2 linked regions of the Oryctolagus cuniculus genome follow. The main gene of each other region encodes a partner of the protein of the gene in region 2 in a complex. Links are inferred from orthologs where the notes say so. Each region holds a gene or a part of one and is shown on either strand. Other genes may lie near its edges.

Region 1 (3,500 bases), on a different chromosome or scaffold from region 2:
GCAGGTGCAGAGGCCCAGGACTTGGGCCATCTTCTGCTGCTTTCCCAGGCCATAGCAGAGAGCCGGATCAGAAGTAGAGCAGCCAGGACTTAAACCAGCACCTGTATGGGATGCCAGCACTGCAGGCAGTGGCTTTAACTGCTGTGCCACAGCGCCGACCCCCTCAATCTTTAAAAAAGTAGTTTAGTTCCATAAAATGAGTTTGCCAGCTTCTGAAATAGTGTGGGGGAGGGGAGGAGTTACATACATTGCAGTTACATACTATCCAAACCTTATTTTACTGTTTTGACAAAGCAATATACATAACAGGTGCTAATTTCAGGGACAGGTTTTATAATGCAAGAATGAGAAAATTTCATATCAAGCAATAGTAATAAACGTAGCCAAAAGAATTTAATTACAGCCTAAAGTGCAGCACATTACTTCCTTAGGGGTTTCCCAAGGACCAAAGGTAGGTACCAATGACCTGTTTTAAACCTTCATCTCTGTATGATGCAGTCGGCGCTGCACGGGGTGACGTCTAGTTCTCAGAGCTGGAGTTGCCTTTGTTTTTCCGCCCAGGCAGAGGGAAGCCCGACTTGCTCTGGGGCTGGGAGAGCTTGCTGGCCAGCAGCATGAAGGGCTCGATGAGCGTCCTGCGGTCAGTGGCGGTCACCTCCCACAGCCTCACCCTCTCACTCCTGGCCCACTGCTGCGCCACCTCAGCGTCCACTTGTCTCTGCTCCGAAAGGTCGGTCTTGTTTCCTAACACGACGATCGCTACCTGAAGGAAAATGGAAAAGATGGCACCGGTACTCCGCCACCCACAGTTCCTATGCAGAACGGAGGAATGAGGAAAGCTGTTCAGTTACTGCTTCGCAGAATGGATTCTCAGATGGCACTGGGAGTAAGAGGCAACGACCCTCCTCCCTCAACACATTTTTGTTAAAAATGCAGACACGTATGGGGTGCTCACCTCCACTGTGAATGAAAGGGGAAATTAACATCTAAGATGTGAGCAGTGGTTTCTGTGTGGCCATACTTGAGGTCTGAGAGATTCTGCAATACGGGGCTTCAAACGTCAATAAAAATACACCTGGCACTGAGAGTTCTGAACCCCTAGAAGGGAGTCTCCATGAACACAGGCTTTTGGTTTGTTTTACTTTGAGAGGTAGAGCTTCAGACAGGGGGAGACAGAGAGAGGCCTTCCATGTGCTGCTTCACTCCCTAACTGGCCGCAACGGCCAGAGCTGCACCAATCCAAAGCCAGGAGCCTAGAGTTTCTTCCAGGTCTCTCACGTGGGTGCAGGGGCCCAAGCACTTAGGCCATCTTTCACTGCTTTCCCAGGCCACAGCAGAGAGCTGGATTGGAAGAGGATCACCCAGGACTAGAACCGGCACCCATATGGGATGCCGGCACCCTAGGTGGAGGCTTAACCTGTGCCACAGCGCCGGCCCCCACAGGCATTTTGTGTGTTCACATTGTTCCCAGTCTAGAAAAGTGCCTGCTAAATGTGTATTGAATGTGCGGGCCGACAGTGCTAAATACCAGTCATCCAGTTAAACAGGAATGCTTCCCAGGCACAGGGTCAGGTGACCAGAGCACAGCAATCACAACATAGTCCAGGTGCCCAGGGCCACAGCAGAAGAGGTAAGCCCAGGAAGTGACCGTACGGAAGGGCACGGGATGGGGCAGCAAAAGACCACCGGACTCAGAGGACCCCTGAGGCGCAGCTGGGGTGGAGATGCCGGGTGCCGCCATGTTCCTCCCTCCAATTCAAGTCTTGCTGAGCTCCGCAGGGCAGCGTGAAAGAGCGGCCCCACGGTGCTGGTTGTCCCAGTAAATCTCGTCCTCCATCTCAAAGCAGGGGCTGTGCCCTCAAGCCTGTCACCACTCGGACTCACATCGCATGTACACCCCCTTGTCTGACTTCCACCTCCTCCTCCCCAACAACAGAAACTAACACTTTGCCCTCTAGAATTTGGCAGAATGCCCACTCCCACTGCACCCATCTGTCTTGCCCAGTTCAGCTCTACAAGCCCATTCTCCCCACCTTACACTTCTAGCACCAAATTGGGGGCCAGGGATGTTAAGGTGTCCTTGACCCTCAAAATGCTGCCTCCAACAATGTCCTTCCCTAAAAGCCCCAGTGGAAGCCTGGAGCTACTAGGCTACTGTAGCTGTAAGATGTTCCCCGCCCACTCCCCCACCCCCCAGCCCATTGCTGGCCCATCACAAATGGACACCCCTGCCATTGGTCACATTCCTAATAATCATACCAGACACGTGGGTGGCACTTCGAGTATCCGGGGGCTCAGTCCTTTGACTCCTCCAGTGGGCTTAACCATCCTTAGCTCAGCCAGTCACATCCCAGACCTCAGCTGAGCCCCCATGAGATCTCCCATCCAAGTACTAACCAGAACCAACCTGGCTTAGCTTCTGCGATCAGACGAGATCGGGCGTGTTCAGGGTGGTATGGCCATAGACCCATGAGATCTCAATCCCAGGCAGCCCTATGACCCCTCGTGCCTAACCCTCCAACTGCACCACAAGCACGCACGCCAGCCCCCATCACTCTCCTTCCTTTCTGCTCATGTCCCCAGTGCCTCTTCACCGACCTCTTTTGCCCCCACTATCCCATCGTATTCACCTGGCAAAAGCCATCCCCCGTTACGTTCTTAACCAGACTTGGCCCACACTACTCCGCTGGATGGGGCTGGAGAAAACACACAACCCTGTTGGCTGGTCCCAGTGGATGACCACTGGCCTCGAATGAGCTGGCACTCCCCCAGCAAACCTACGCATTGTCTCTGCCGACTCCGGAACTGGGCAGCGTCTCTCTCAGCCCCTTCTCCAAGCTCCGAAACCTCTGCTTCCTCTCCCACCTTCCCTCCCGTCCACTGACCGCCACACTATCTCAGTGAGGAAACTGAAAAGGACATCCAAGTGCTTCCACCACTCCATGTCACAACCTGCCCTCTCCCAGCCTGCTCCACTCTGCTCCCAAACCCAGCGTCTTACCTGGACAACGACACCACCCCATCATCAGCTTTCTCCTCCCCTCGGAATCCCTCCCACGAGCACCCTGACACTGTTGGCCCTCACAAATAAACATTTCCACGTCTCCTTCTCCAGGTCCTTTCTGTCCTCCTTTATAGCAAAGCTGTGTCTCCTGCATTCCATTCTCTTACGGCCACTCCATCAGACTTCACCTCACTACACTACTAAAATGGCTTTGGGTCCAGACCTCCAAATTCATATTCAATATGAATATGACCTTCATATTCAATATGAAACTACCCAATTCCTAGTCTTTAGCCTTTTTTTTTTTTTTTTTAAAGTTATTTATTAGAGAGGTAGAGTTGAAGACAGAGGGAGAGACAGAAGGATCTTTCATCTGCTGGTTCACTCTCCAAAGGGCCATGACGGCTGGAGCTGGGCCGATCCAAAGGCAGGAGCTAGGAGCTTCTTTTGGGTCTCCCACACAGGTGCAGGAGCCCATTCACTTGGGCCATCCTCC
Region 2 (3,500 bases):
GCAGACAGAAGAGAAAGGTCTTCCATCCACTGGTTCACTCCCCAGATGGCCACAATGGTCGGAGCGGCACCGATCCGAAGCCAGGAACCAGGAGCTTCTTCCAAGTCTCCCACATGGGTGCAGGGGCCCAAGGACTTGGGCCATTTTCTACTGCTTTCCTAAGCCATAGCAGAGAGCTGGATGGGAAGTAGAGCAGCCAGGACTTGGGCACATATGGGATGCTGGCCCTGCACACTGGGACTTTAACCCGCTGTGCCATAATACTGGCCCCGGCATGCACACTCTTGATAAGTGGATACATTTTGTTAAGCATGAAAAGGAAAAATAAAGACCTTTTACAAAATGTGTATATTTAAGGATTTTTTTTTCACTCAGTGTCATAGTTTATCATTCATAACAAAGCTATTTATAGCCAGGTAGTTTCTGATAAGCAGCATTATACTTTAATCTATTTTTATGATCCTCTTTTAGACCATTAGTTACTATTTGATATAATTACTACTTTCAGATGGATACTTAAAAAAGATTATGGAAAATGGAATCAAAAGATACGTTTAGGGCCTGCTGCTGTGGTGTAGAAAGTTAAACCTCCTCCTGCAACACCGGCATCCCACGTGAGCGCTGATTTGAGTCCCTGCTACTCCACTTCCAGTCCAGCTCCCTGTTAATGGCCTGGGAAAGCAGCAGAATGTGATCAAGTCCTTGAGCCCCTGTACCCATGTGGGAGACCCGGAAGAAGCTCCTGACTCCTGACTTTGTATTGGCCCAGCTTTGGCCATTGCTGCCATTTGGGGAGTGAACCAGCAGATGGAAGATCTCTGTCTCTCTCTTTCTCTCTCTGTATTTCTGCCTTTCAAATAAATAATCTTTTTTTAAAAAAGATAAGTTTATTTTGGTGGAGAAAATTTCAAATACACGCATAATTCTTTCATTATGTGCATTTTTATGAAATTTTTGAGAATCTTTTATTCAATTTTCTTAAAAACACCAAAAAAACTATCTTTTCATTCTATTTCCCAAGGACTTTTTGAAGTGTCCTTCTAAAGTCCCAAGTAAGAGACACAGTCAACCAGCCAAGGTGGCTGCTAACTCTGCTCCTAGTGTGCAGGTTGCTTATCTCAGATACCTAACTGCTTACAGAGAAGATGGGGGGAGCTTTCAGAACTGACAGTGAGAAGCTTAAACATGCTACCTTCGTATCTCATCCCCAAATGAAGACAAGCAAGGATCCTAGGAGTCAATTCTTTCAGTTTGTGGATGTCACGAACTCGTTTTTCATGAATGGGGTCCAGACTTCCTCTTCATGTTTCAGGGAATCTGCAGGCAGTCGATTCACCCAGCATCTGTCCAGGAAGAACAGTTATATTTCACAAATGTGCCTTTTCCTGACTTTTTAGTACCAGAGATATTTGGGGCTTTTACTGGGCACGGTTGTGGTTTATGATCTGATTAAGTAAGACTCCAGACTAGTTTCCCATTATAGACTTAAAACACGTCCCTCAAATGCATCTGTATTTATGTCAGATTGAAAGGACAACCTGTGTGAGTAAAAGTACGGGAAGGTTGATTCTCTAATTGTTATGTTCTGCCTGGGGCCTTTTTCAAATTGGACCTTTATCATTAGAGTTTTACAGCCTGCTCTGCCCTGTCGTCCAGAGGAGGTGTTTTACATATGAACTCAGCCAACCCCTGGCTAGCTTCACATTTGCTATTTGGGGCATTACTGTTTCTTAGCATTGGCATTAAATTTGTACATTAAATTTCTTAGTTGTGTGGAAATGATACCAGCTTCTACTCAAGGTGAGGAAGAAAAGTTTAATTTCAGAGACAGAGGTAGATGACCTTCTTTGCTTCTTAAAATGAGCTTCTTGATATGAAATTTCATTTTGAATGAATTGGATGCAGGTGATTTCTTGTTCATTGACAGGAAAAAATTTAAAAATCCGAGAAAACTCAGGACTGTCTCATTCTCAGTAATTGCACAGGATTAGCTTGAGACTGAAGTGTGTTGTTTCTTTGTAAGATTTATACATCATAACATTGATGTGTTATAAATAAAGCAATTGGACTTTTAATGTCTAAGAGGGATGATTAGTATGAAAAAGCGTATTTACAATTATGTTTTAATTAGCATTTTGCTTTTCATGTTTGGAGTTTAGAAACCAATTATTTCCTAAAGCTTTAAGCTCAAATTATAAAACTTAATTTATTTAAGTTATCTAGTGATTTCTTTTATTAAAACTAAAGGTTTTGTTTTTACCTCTTCTTAGGTTAATGTATAATACTTCTATTAATTTGGCAGATTAAAATTTCTCTAACTTCTACTCTTAAGCTTAAGTAGTCATTTCAACCCATACATGAAGATTTAGTTTATCTGCTTCTCCTGAATACCTAATTTTGCAAGGTCTACTTATACATACTGTTGTCAGAGTCTTTTCATGTATTTTGTATAAAAATAAAAACAATATTTCCTTATATTTTGTACAAAATAATTTCCATAGTTTTGTAAATCACTTGCTCTTGGGTATTTAATCATCAGCTACAAATTAGTTAAAGCCTTCTAAGTATTTCCATTAGTCATTAATACTGTCAGATTCTCTTAAATATTTAAAATGCCCTAACAACCAAACATGAATTGTCCCAACGATTATTAAGCAAATTGCTTCAAATGTATTTAAGCTGTCATAGGGTTGATTCATTTTCTTCTCAGCTGCACATCTGCCCCACTGAAGAGAGCCAGGTGACTTCTCCGGCCTACCCCTGTGTCTTCTCCAGAGCTCTTTAAGGATCTGGGCTTTCATTCTTTCCTTATCTACTGTACACATTTTTAAATGTGCCTTGCAGGATCGGCATTGTGACACAGCAGGTTAGGCCGCAGCCTGTGACGCTGGCATCCTAGTTGAGCATAGATTCCAGCCCCGGTTGGTCCACTTCTGATCAGCTCCCTGCTAATGTGCCTGGGAAAGCAGTGGCAGGTGGCCCAAGTTCTTAGGTCTCTGCCACCTACATGGGAGACCCAGATGGAGTTCTAGTGTTCTGGCTTTAGCCTGCCCCAGCCCCAGATGTTCACTCTGGGAAGTGAACCAGCAGATGAAGATCTGTCTGTCTCTCTCTCTGTAGCTCTGTCTTTCGAATAAATAAACCTATTAAAAAAAAAAAAAGTCCCTTTCAGGAAGAAATCCTCACATATGTTGAGTTTTTCTAAAACACTTTATTTAAATTGCTTTTAAATTCAAATAGAACTAGTGTCAAAAAGAAAATATATGGGGGAAAAAAAAACACAGGCTGAAGAAACAATGTTCCAAGTACAAACTGGAGTTTGGTGGTGGTGGTCTGAGTTTTCATGCTGCTTCTCCAGTGTCTCTCTATGCTCTGTTCCTTGTGCTGGCAGAGAAGAAGAGGAGGAGCGTGGAGCTGATCCCCCTGACTGCCCGGATGGTGATGGCGCACCTGGTGAATCACCTGGGGCACTACCCACTCCACGGAGGCCCCGCCATGCT

The links. The genes of interacting proteins can lie anywhere in the genome.
Region 1: the proteins of RALGAPA2 (region 2) and NKIRAS1 are in contact, whole or in part, in a crystal structure (PDB 9QU1), measured with the Homo sapiens proteins. The link is inferred for Oryctolagus cuniculus from reciprocal best matches to the Homo sapiens genes RALGAPA2 and NKIRAS1. Residues at the interface, in NP_065076.2 of Homo sapiens: Pro20, Lys21, Tyr51, Ser52, Gln53, Phe56, Tyr59, Glu60, Ile63, Arg99, Phe102, Arg103, Trp104, His105, Tyr106, Gln107, Ser108, Lys185, Ile186, Tyr187, Pro188, Glu189; in NP_001364280.1 of Homo sapiens: Lys6, Glu22, Leu24, Leu25, Tyr26, Glu34, Met39, Glu40, Asp41, Val42, Tyr43, Met44, Ala45, Ser46, Val47, Glu48, Lys54, Gln56, His58, Tyr60, His74, Tyr75, Ser77, Phe78, Lys108, Thr162.

The regions. Positions count from the first base shown.
Region 1 is NC_091435.1:159,791,455-159,794,954, forward strand, and holds part of NKIRAS1 (NF-kappa-B inhibitor-interacting Ras-like protein 1), read right to left. Parts: intron 813-3,500; coding exon of another isoform or gene 764-812; coding exon 521-763; 3' UTR 1-520. UniProt on the Homo sapiens protein: Atypical Ras-like protein that acts as a potent regulator of NF-kappa-B activity by preventing the degradation of NF-kappa-B inhibitor beta (NFKBIB) by most signals, explaining why NFKBIB is more resistant to degradation.
Region 2 is NC_091442.1:45,073,441-45,076,940, reverse strand, and holds part of RALGAPA2 (ral GTPase-activating protein subunit alpha-2), read left to right. Parts: intron 1-3,391; coding exon 3,392-3,500.